Linked DNA regions of Nothobranchius furzeri. The protein of the gene in region 1 binds, or shares a complex with, the protein of each later gene. Links are inferred from orthologs where the notes say so. Each region holds a gene or a part of one and is shown in the gene's direction. Other genes may lie near its edges.

What was found.
Region 2: the proteins of atp8b1 (region 1) and cell cycle control protein 50A are in contact, whole or in part, in a cryo-EM structure (PDB 7VGI), measured with the Homo sapiens proteins. The link is inferred for Nothobranchius furzeri from reciprocal best matches to the Homo sapiens genes ATP8B1 and TMEM30A. Residues at the interface, in NP_001361314.1 of Homo sapiens: Thr138, His359, Trp362, Glu363, Val366, Ser369, Ser370, Trp371, Tyr372, Leu373, Tyr374, Asp375, Gly376, Arg384, Ile388, Phe418, Asn420, Trp421, Asp422, Leu423, Tyr426, Lys430, Asp431, Thr432, Pro433, His939, Trp942, Arg946, Tyr968, Phe971; in NP_060717.1 of Homo sapiens: Lys24, Thr25, Arg26, Arg27, Pro28, Asn30, Phe33, Lys34, Gln35, Gln36, Arg37, Leu38, Pro39, Ala40, Trp41, Gln42, Pro43, Ile44, Leu45, Thr46, Ala47, Val50, Phe54, Ile57, Phe61, Ile64, Ile68, Ile75, Phe119, Tyr121.
Region 3: the proteins of atp8b1 (region 1) and tmem30b are in contact, whole or in part, in a cryo-EM structure (PDB 7VGH), measured with the Homo sapiens proteins. The link is inferred for Nothobranchius furzeri from reciprocal best matches to the Homo sapiens genes ATP8B1 and TMEM30B. Residues at the interface, in NP_001361314.1 of Homo sapiens: Trp362, Val366, Ser369, Ser370, Trp371, Tyr372, Leu373, Tyr374, Asp375, Gly376, Phe418, Trp421, Asp422, Leu423, Tyr426, Asp431, Pro433, His939, Trp942, Arg946, Tyr968, Phe971, Asn972, Gly973, Ser975, Ala976, Gln977, Leu1003, Gln1005, Phe1049; in NP_001017970.1 of Homo sapiens: Gly9, Ala10, His11, Gln12, Pro13, Asn15, Phe18, Thr19, Gln20, Gln21, Arg22, Leu23, Pro24, Ala25, Trp26, Gln27, Pro28, Leu30, Ser31, Ala32, Ala35, Leu38, Phe39, Phe46, Leu49, Leu53, Tyr109, Tyr111, Asn116, Phe117.

The regions. Positions count from the first base shown.
Region 1 is NC_091746.1:72,924,404-72,928,653, reverse strand, and holds the end of atp8b1 (phospholipid-transporting ATPase IC), read left to right. Parts: intron 1-61; coding exon 62-307; intron 308-566; coding exon 567-705; intron 706-786; coding exon 787-917; intron 918-2,263; coding exon 2,264-2,509; 3' UTR 2,510-3,603; downstream 3,604-4,250. UniProt on the Homo sapiens protein: Catalytic component of a P4-ATPase flippase complex which catalyzes the hydrolysis of ATP coupled to the transport of phospholipids, in particular phosphatidylcholines (PC), from the outer to the inner leaflet of the plasma membrane.
Region 2 is NC_091758.1:36,702,248-36,704,800, forward strand, and holds part of cell cycle control protein 50A, read left to right. Parts: intron 1-375; coding exon 376-483; intron 484-904; coding exon 905-992; intron 993-1,090; coding exon 1,091-1,231; intron 1,232-1,302; coding exon 1,303-1,512; intron 1,513-2,553. UniProt on the Homo sapiens protein: Accessory component of a P4-ATPase flippase complex which catalyzes the hydrolysis of ATP coupled to the transport of aminophospholipids from the outer to the inner leaflet of various membranes and ensures the maintenance of asymmetric distribution of phospholipids.
Region 3 is NC_091758.1:27,091,643-27,095,587, reverse strand, and holds the end of tmem30b (cell cycle control protein 50B), read left to right. Parts: intron 1-2,655; coding exon 2,656-2,834; 3' UTR 2,835-3,331; downstream 3,332-3,945. UniProt on the Homo sapiens protein: Accessory component of a P4-ATPase flippase complex which catalyzes the hydrolysis of ATP coupled to the transport of aminophospholipids from the outer to the inner leaflet of various membranes and ensures the maintenance of asymmetric distribution of phospholipids.

The DNA.
Region 1 (4,250 bases):
TGTATGTTAAAAATAAAAACATAAAAATAAATGTGTTGTTTCCTTCCTCCTCCTCCTGCAGGACGTGAACGACAGACTGAGTCTGAAGTTTCCTAAACTCTACCTCCCTGGCCAGCAGGAGACGATGTTCAACTACAAGAACTTCTTCATCAGTTTGTTCCATGGAATCTTTGTCTCTCTCATCATCTTCTTCATTCCTTACGGAGCGTTCCTGCAGACGATGGGGCAGGATGGAGAAGCTCCGTCAGACCTGCAGTCCTTTGCCGTGGTAACCGCCTCATCTCTGATTTTCACAGTCAACCTGCAGGTGAGTCACCTGGTCCGAACCATCGCTGCTTCAGGAGTCGACGAGCTTATTTAATGTTTTTCAGTTTGCTAAACAATCTTAAAACATCATAATGGAGGAAGATTTGGAGTTAAAAGGGATTTTTTACGTAATTTCAAACAGGTGTTTTTCATGATTTAGTGTTAAATCGGTTTCTACATCAGTCTGATGGTCAAACGTTCAGACCAGAACTTGTGACAGAAAACTGACGGGACTAAAACCCAACGGTCTTGTTGGGCAGATCTCTCTGGACACGTCATACTGGACCTTCGTCAACTGCTTTGCCGTTCTGGGTAGCATCGCCATCTACTTTGGGATCATGTTCGACATCCACAGCGCAGGGATTCATGTCATCTTCCCCTCGATTTTCACCTTCACAGGTCAGTCAGTGGGGAGGATGCTGAAAGGTGGAGATGAGCTGAAAACGAAGTGTCATCTTGTAACCATGTTTGTGTCTTTAGGCGCGGCGCCCAATGCCCTGCGTCAGCCATACCTGTGGTTAACCATCATCCTGACGGTGGGCATGAGTCTGCTGCCCGTCATCTGCATCCAGTTCCTCTACAAAACCATCTGGCCTTCAGTAGGAGACAAGGTGAGACCAACAACGTCCACGTTTAGCCTTGTGGAGTCCTTTTCAGCTCTCTGAAGTGCTGAAAGATCAGAACCGGCCCAAACCAGGCTGCTGGGATCAGCGGTTTGTGCTACAGTGCATCACGGGTAAAGCTCTCTCGTTCGGGACACAACTGTTGGGGTGCTTCTCAATGTCAAGCCCCCTGGCCTCGCGAGGCGATGTCTGGCGAGGCCAGGCGCCTTGCTTACGAGAACACCGTCCTTCCTCGGTCAAAGAAAAGGGTTAAACGAAACAGAACTGCATCATGTGACCGCGGCCTACACGTCACATGACACGTGAGGCAACGTTATATTTTATACGTGTAAGTTTCGATATAAATGTATAGCAAGCCTTTTACTGTTAAAAATACATTAAAGATGTAAGTGAGTTACTACCTGATAGCCACCAAAGATGCAACTAACCAACCATAGCTAACGTTTCAGATTTCAGCCTGATGGCCACAGTTAGCAGACTTGCATCTATACTGGGCTCCCAAAGTAGCTGCCAGCTTCCTTTTGAAAATACCGCGCTGTATTCTGGGAATTTGTTCCTCGACATTGAGGAACGCCCTAAATCTGCTCTAAGCTACTGTAACCTTTGACCTTTTTAATGGAATTCTGAGCATTGACCTCTGACCTCAAGGAAACCTCCACTCCTAGATCAGGGACTGTCTTGGATATTTTCCCCCTTGTGTCTCTGTAGAATAATAGTCTCCAAACACATTTAGAGACGACCTTTGACCCTTCCAGATTGACAGAAAGCCACAGATTTATTTAACCAGGTGAGTCGACGGAGAATCGTTGTCATTTACGGCCAAGAAATATGACGGCAAAGCTGTTACAGCGGGACCTCATAAAGGCCGTCGTCACTCAGACTTTCATCTGAGTAATCTGGACGTCTGAAGGCAGTCAGAAGCTCTTTGGTGTTACTGATCGTGTCGAGTTGAGGGCAGATGTGAGATTTAGAAGAGTTTAGTGGTTTTTGCAGCTCATTCCGGTCGTTTGGAGCAGGAAAATGAAATTGGAACGGCCAAAAGTGGTGCAGGCTTTGGAATGATCCTGGAGAATAAGTGGAGCATAAATTATGATGGATAATAGGGAAAGCTGCTGCTCTTGTGCCTTTTCTTATGTTAACACACACCTGTATACTCCAGAGAAACCAACTGAATGCACCACCTTCATGAAGTTTTAGTTGCAGGAATATATTTTGGCCTTTTGGAGGAAGTCTGTTTTTAAAAGGTCCCGACAGAGAAGACTAAATAAGACCCAATGCTGAACTTGGAGGTGATTTTCTGCTCTTAAAGACAAACTTTTCCCATCCTCTTCCAGGTGCAGAAAAACAGGAAGAAGTACGAAGAAGACCTGAAGAGGAGTGAGGAAGAAGAGGCGAGAAGGAAAAGGCCAGCGTTCCAGAGGGATCGGCCTTCGCGTCGCTCGGCGTACGCCTTCTCTCACACCCCCGGCTATGCCAACCTCATCTCCACTGGGCGGAGCATTCGACGGCGTCCTCAGGCCCGCGGAGGTCCCCAGGACGGCACCAGAGAGCATTCTCGCAGAGATGCCCAAGCCATGTGAGCGGAGCCACAGCTGGAGGAGCTGTAAACATCTGGGAGCGACTTAATTTCTGTGGAGTCGCTGAACAGCTCCAACTTGGTTTTTATTCTAGCGTTTGAACATTGAAGTGCCTCTGACCGGTGAAGCTCCAGTTTCACCATTTATGCACGAACTCTAACAGAAAAACTCACCGAAGAAACCACCGCCGTCACCGGGGGTCAGAGGTCATGCAGCTCCAGCAAGACCACAATGTTCCTTAACTCAGGATTTTCCTTTTAAATGCGTCTCTTTTATTGAGCCAGTTCTGTTCCACACCGGTACGACTGACGTGAAACGTCATTTAAATCTCTAAACAGATCGAGCCTCACCTCTTCTCGGCACTTAGAACGACGTTTTAACACATTTTAGAAATCATGTCCAATTACATTAATTTTGACATCTGGGTTTTATCTTCCCTTTCCTTCAGATTAAAACTGAAATAAGGCTAAACTGTCAGAATACCTTCTGCTTTACTCGGATTAGTGGTGGGATATTGGTGAACCAGGCTGTGTGAGGTGTTTGAGCAAAATCACTGTTTTTGGTTAGACATTGTATGAAATCACTGATTGGATTAACTTTTGTCCTTTTTTAAAAGATTTTTTTAGGAACTTTTTTTCCCCATTATTGGTTTTCTTCTCAGATTTGTTTTAAATTCCTATAAAACAAATAAAAATGTTTTTTTTTATTTACCATCTATACGTTTTAGATTTAACGTGTATCCAGATGCTTCTAACTCCTGTGGGTGAAGCCTTGGTGGTGTTATGAGTTTGTTGGTACAGGAGCCCCGTCTTATAATTTCTTTGTTTGTTTTCAAAAAAAATCTGTGTTCGTGTTCTGAATTACCGCGTTAAACATATTCAGGCCTTTATACAGAAAATTGGGACGGAACGTTAAACTCTTAATCCGACTGTCACGGATCTATCTGATATGACTATTACTGATCCGATGGTCCCGTTACCGGTCCCAACCAGACTGGTACCAGTCCTGTAGGTCAGAACTGCTGCTCAGTAACAGTTTCTTCCTATGATGTGGTTTTGTCGTGTGGTTGTTAATAAAAGCCAAGGGCACATTTAGCAGTTTAACTTGTTTTTTTTAAATCAGGGTTTTCTGATTAATGACTGGTTTTGTTGACAATGGTAACATTTATTACTGATCAGGTAATAAAAACAACCACAAAAGCCTGGAGGAGTTAATTTGTCTACATCTGGAGTCAGAATTGGAGGAAATCCCATGTTTCATTATTGCTTAACCCAACCCTAAAATTTAAAACTATCAAATAACCACAAAATTAGTCCTTAAAACAAATGACAAGTTTAATTCGCCACACACACACACACACACGGGAATAACTGGGACTCGCGATACAAACTCGTTCTGGCTGATTTCTGCCTAAAATGTAATAAAAAAAAATATACAAACGAAAAATATCTATAAACTGAACCGCTTTAAGCTTTTAAGGTTTCTATGGCTAGCTCTTAACAAACTTACTTTTAAAACTTCGTAGCTCTCCCCATTTTCTCTGCCTGTTGAAAATCCACTGCCGGCGCGCAAAGCATGCTGGGATAGCCTTGTTCTGTGAGGATACAACAGACCCATCCTCGAAATGTGGGCGGAGCAAGGACGCATTTGAGGACGTGAGAATGAGTATTCATGGAATTCGGACAGTACTCGTCGCTGCGCTGTGACGTCATTGCACTCTTACAAGCATCCTTTCCGTGGATTC
Region 2 (2,553 bases), on another chromosome or scaffold:
AGCACTAATAAATGAACTCATCTAAATTCCACAAATGTGGAATGACCTTCCAAGCACTATCAGAACAGGGGCTTCCTTTTCAATTTTCAAGAAACTCCTGAAGACCCTGCTCTTCAGAGAGCATCTTCTAAACCAGCACCCTGCCTGCACCCGTCCCCCCTCTACCGTCCACTCCTTTGTTCCCTACTCTCCATGATTGATGTCAAGTTGTTGTTGTTGTTGTTGTTAGCCTCAAGGGCAACATGCCGATTATCACTTGTAAGTCGCTTTGGACAAAAGCGTCTGCTAAACACATAAACATAAATTCAGTGAGTGTAACACATGAAACTGTTTCCTCCTTTCTAATCTGCGTTTGCGCTCCTCCCTCGCCTGCAGAACAACGTCTACATGTACTACGGCTTGTCCAACTTCTACCAGAACCACAGGCGCTATGTGAAGTCCAGAGACGACAGACAGTTGAACGGTGATGCGACTGCTTTAAAGGTACGGTTCTAATCGTGTTCATCAGGTAGAGTCCGGAATAATGTCTGTAGACTTTTCTAAACTGCGGGTCTTTGCGTTCGCTGCTCCTAGACTCTGGAACGTTCTCCCCCGTAGTGTTCGACAGGCCCCAGAACTGGGTCGGTTTAAGTCGGTACTGAAGGCCTTCTTCTATCATTTAGCTTTTATTCAATGATCAAGCTTTTAGTGTTTTTATGTTTTATTGTGACTCGGTATTTTATTGTTGTTTGTTTCTTTCACAACTTTTAGATTTTACCTCTTAACTCCTATATGACTTTTATCTGTTTTTATCTCGGGGTTTGTTCTTTTTACTGTACTGCCTGTTGGTCAGCTGTCATGCTGTTTTTAAATGTGCTGTATAAATAAACATGGTATGGTATGGTAAACATTTCCCTTTTCTCAGGATCCCAGCAACGATTGTGAGCCTTACCGTAAGATTGGAGTGGAGACCATTGCACCGTGTGGAGCCATCGCTAACAGCCTTTTCAACGGTGAGCCGGGATCTGCTGTCGATTGAAACGTTCTGTAGAAGTTTTGCTTAAACCTGCAGATTTGTGTTCTAATTAAAAAGCTCCGTTTGCTGTTTCAGACTCTCTGGAGCTGTATTACGTAGAACCCAGCGGCGCCCTAAATGCAGTCCCTCTGGCGAAGAAAGGGATCGCCTGGTGGACGGACAGGAACGTGAAGTTCAGGAATCCCGCTGGGGTCGACCTACCTACGGCTTTCAAAGGTGAGCTTTTCAAACCGAGCGTCTGTAGAGGTGTAATCGCTGGAGGTGACCTGAGTAGCTTTCCCTCGCAGGCACCGCCAAGCCGGTGAACTGGAGGAAGCCGGTGTATGAGCTGGACCCGTCCGATCCTGATAACAACGGGTTTATCAACGAAGACTTCATCGTGTGGATGCGCACGGCTGCTCTGCCCACCTTCCGGAAGCTCTACCGCATCATCCACAAGAACCAGAGCAGCACCTCTACTCTACCCAGCGGGAGATACGTCTTGAACATCACCTACAGTATCCTTTACACTTCAAACTGTTTACAGCTTACTCTTTTCGATTTCAACAGGTCAGGAATATTATGGTGAAGCTTTAAAATCTTACTACACTTACACAGGGCTGGGCCGTTTGGGAAGATTCCTATCAGCCGTATTTCCATATCAGCCGATATTGATACACATCAGGATAAAGTTTAATATTTACATGCTCCAGTGGGCGGCTCCAAGGAAGAGGCTCCAGCTGCTACTTTACATCTGCGCGGCTCTGTTCCGGCCTCAACACGGAGCAACTCTTACCCGGCCTTTCCACTGGATGCGTAAGCGGCGTGTGACGTAGTAGATGCGCTTTACCTGCCAGCTCAGCAGCGCTGGGTGTCTCAGACACAAACGGCAGCACACACGTACCGCACAGCTGGTTCAGCAAGGTCACAAAATCACCAGAAAATCACAAGACCACGCGCGATTTCAGCAGTTCAGCCGATAGCAAGCAAGGAGGAAGTTGGCGGCGTGCATCGTAAAAGGTCTGGTTTGTGTTCCGTTCGCCTCGGCTGTGGACGTTTCTCAGATAATGACGTATACATTTTTACTAGTTGATCAACGGGAAAGCCACGTGTCTTTTATTTTGAAAGTTTCAGGTTTTTCTACGCTGCATTTGTGTTAAATTTAGCAGAGCGACGTGTCACTACGCTTATGGGATGCATCCAACATGTGACGCTTCTCAACCAGGGGAAACGCCGACTCTAACGGCGGTTAATTGCTTCGTATTAGGCTTCGTGGACGTTATGCGATGCTTACGCGTAGGGCTAGGCAATATGGCCTCAAATCTATATTGCGATATATCTGAAGCATGTGCTATTACGATATATACTGCAATATATTTTTTCCTTTGTTTATATATGTCAAAATGACATGCTTTAAAAAAATCCTCATATGGAAAATGTATTGCAGCAGAATAAAGACGTCCAAAAAGTGTAGAATGCTGCTCCTCCTCCCGCTACGTGCTTGCGGTCACTGCCATTCTGTTGTTCCAATGTCGGCGCAGGTGCACATCTTAGTGGCT
Region 3 (3,945 bases), on another chromosome or scaffold:
AGAGGGCGTAGCGCTGTTCTGGGGTATCCTGTCATGTATCCAGTACTACTGTGTTTATATTGTGTTTTTGTATTTGAGAGACTTAACGCAGATAAAATTTGTCCCTCATCCTCCTCTTCATACACTCGCCACATCTAAACCCACGTTTCCCATCATTTTCATCCTCGAGTAAAACGCTTGCTGTGTTATCTTTTTACTCCTCCACTCACGGGTGAATAAAGCTTTGATATTTTTTAGTTTTCCCACGAGGTATTCTTCAAGCTGCTCCGTGTCTGCCGGCTAGATATCTTCGGCTTTCCTTATGTTTTTGAGGGGGCAATGGCGGCGCTGTAGATGATGGTGGCTGTTGATGCCAGCGCTGCAGCGTTAGCTCGGTGCAGCCTTGGGAACCCAGCGGGCTTACAGATGGTAAACAAAGACAGTGTCCCTCTTTGGCCTTTTTAAAAAGAGAAAATCGGACAACCCCTCCAGCTTTCTGAGATTGAAATCTGCTAAAGTAACTTTCCTTCCAGCATGATTGAGACATTAGCTCAGTGGTCTAGTGGTAGTGTCCACCCTGAGACTGGGAGATCAGGGTTCAAGTCCTGGTCGGGTCGACCCAATGCCTCCTTGATTTACACTCAGCTTTGGGGGGGGTTAAACCACCAAATGGTTCCCGAGCACGATTGTGTCTGCAGCTCACCGCCCCCCCCAGGGGATGGGTCAAATGTGGAGAACAAATTTTGCACACACATCGGTGTGTGTTGCAACTAATGGGACTTTGATTTTAATTGCTGTTTTGTGATTATTTCACTGTAAATTCTTACTTATTGTACCTGTAAATAGAAATGATCAGCTTCATCCCTAAACTATTGGGTCAGATGAATACCAAAGCTCTAAGAGTTTCATGAATGAGGCTTCACGGTCCAGCCACAGAGCAGCCTCGGCTCGTGTGACTGGTTAGGTTGGTTCAGTCTTTTAAATGATTTGAACACAACGACTTAGGAGCTTTTACAGGAGCAGCAAGACATGCAAATCTTCTGTCATAGGAAAACAAGATAAGCAAATGATGGTCTTCATCTACCCAGAAAGAAACTATGTAAATGAGACTCGACTGCATTTTTAAGCTTTGCACTTTTGACTAGATATTTTGATATATTTAACAGAAGGATCTAAAAGTGCTTATAGAAAGATCATTTGTCTGTGCATTTTGCACGTTGTGCAAGTTAAATAATATTTGCTACAATACCAGTTTGTGAATGCACAAAGGTTTAGTTTTAATATAAAATCAAATCAAATTTTATTTGTAGAGCACTTTTCATAATAATCAGCACAAAGTGCTTTATGTAAAAAAAAAAACGCATCAAAATTCCACAGCCAGTTCAAACTCCTTGCACACACCTTAACCCTCGCCCCCTTCACTGCACACCAGGCAGCACAATCAAGTTTGTTAAAGTTGAAAAGTTAAAGGTAAAAAAATGCTGTGAAAAAATGAGCTAAAAATTGTTCAAATATATCAATGAAAAGCTAAGTTCAAAAGGTAGGTCTTGAACCTCTTTTAAAAAAACATAAGTACTTGCAGCAGCTCCGAGGCTCTCCGGCAGACTGTTCCACAGACGAGGGCCATATAGTGGGAAAATGATGCTTCGCTGTAAGTTTTGGTTCTACCTTTTGGTTTGACTGAAATGCCAGTACTGGAGGACCTCAGGGAACACGGGTTCATAATTTAAAAGGTCGGCTAAATGGGAAGGTCCAAGACCATGGAGACATTTATAAACTAAGAAAAGAACCTTAAAATCAATCCTAAAATGTACAGGAAGCCAATGCAGCGATTTTAAAATGGGTGTAAAATGTTCCTGCCCTCTGGTCCTGGTCAGCACACGTGCTGCTGAATTCTGGAGTAAGTGTAAGTTCCAAATACTCTTTTGGGGTTGACCAGAGAGCAGGGCATCACAATAATCAAATCTACTTAAAATATAAGCATGTATTAACACCTCTGCTGGCGAGAGAGAGAGAAATGGGCGGACTCTGGTTATGTTTTTATAGCCTGACCTGCTAGATTCTTCCTCTGTTGAATTCTGCACAGAGAAAGAATTAAACAGAGGAGTCTGGCAAGCCAGGCTAATATTTTTAGGTGATAAAATCCTATTTTGGTTATAGTTTTGGTATATGGAATAAAATTAAGCTCAGAGTCAAAGAGGGCACCCAGATTTCTCACTCAGTGAGAAGGTTTGAAATTGTGTAGTTCTGCAAAAAGGATCTCTCGCTTGTTTGCAGGACCGACGATTAAAACTTCAGTTTTGTCCGGGTTGAGCTGTAAAAAGTTTTGTCATCCATGACTTTATATCTAAAATACAGTTTAAAAGTAAATTTACTGGTTTGATGTCATCAGGGGACACTGCAATGTGAAGCTGTGTGTCATCAGCATAGCTGTGAAAATCAATACCTTGTCTCCTGGTGATGTCTCCAAGTGGCAGCATGTAGCTTAAAAAGTGTTGGGCCTAAAATCGGTCCTTGGGGAACCCCACACTTAATTTCATGGGTTCCTGAGGATTAGGTATCCATACTTATGAAAAAGCTTTGATCTGTGAGATAGGAGTAAATGGGACGGTAAAAGAATGTTTACACAATCCATGCTTTAGTGGTCTTTGCAAAGCCTTAACATTTGTCCCTCAGACTATCCTGTGAATGGTTTTGGTGGGAAAAAGAAGGTGGTGTTCAGCAATGTCAGTTGGATGGGTGGAAAGAACGAGTTCCTGGGCATCGCCTACCTTGTGATTGGATCCCTGTGTGTCGTCATGTCCGTAGTTATGCTCATCGTCTACGCGAAGTTCAAGTTCCCTGAAGACAACTGAGTGTTTGTTTAGGGATGGGTGTTATTAGAGGATTCCCAGTCTTTTTTTTTTCTTTCTTTCATAAAGAGGATTAGGTTGGTGCTCACACATATTGTCTTAGGTACTGATCTGAATAAGCTAGGCATTCATTTTATTGTGCGTATTTTACCACTGGAGCTTTTACGACATCTATATTATTCAACTTGTCTGCCGTATGTCTTAGAAAAGTGTAAAAATAACAGTAAAGTTGGGGAATTTTTGTTTTTAAAATTTTTGTCCATTTACATGGAATGACTTTGAAAGGTCAATCAAGTTAAAGCCATATTTTACATATGAAGCCATTGACGCTGGTCAGACTGTTACCTTTTAATTGTAACTTTCTGTACATTTTGTAAATATGCAAATTCCAACTCAGGGATACGGTTTGTGTTTATTTAAAGCATTTTAATGTTTGAAATTTGAGTTTTTACTTTATGATGTAGATATTTCTTGAATTAAACATCAAAGCTATTGTTTCATTTCTGTTGGTGAATTCTGGAAACTTGGTCAAAGGTGTGATTTTGAAAGTGGACGATCTTTACTCTGTATTTTCTGATTCCGTTTGAGTTTTCTCCTAAGTTTGTAAATTGAAGACATTCTGAATTAACTCATCCTTAAATGATCAGACAGCGCCAAGGTTTTGAACATCATCTGGGATATGTGGGTTGGGTGGGGGATAAAGCAGACTTAATTTTCCCTTTTCCTTAATTAATTAGGATTAAAACATATCAAAGAAATTTATAAAATTTGAAAAAACTTATTTTTGTGTACTTAAATTTTACGTTTCACTGATGATCATTATTTCACAGTAGCTTATAGCAAACAGGTGGCTGTACAAGTGGTCGTTGATTTAATCTTTAACACAGATAATTAAGATTTTTTGAGTTTTAGTAGCTCTGGCTTTCCCGTTATTTCGACTCACTATGCTGTTAACTCCAAGTTAAAATTGAAGTAATTTTTCAGAGGTTAGTTTTATTTTGAAAGAATGTATAGGAAGTGCTGATGAGTTATGCCTTGTTTAGCTTTATGACTTCTCCCTGTAGTAACCGCTTCTTTACAGCAGAGGGCGGAAAAATCTTAATTTTTGAAAGCT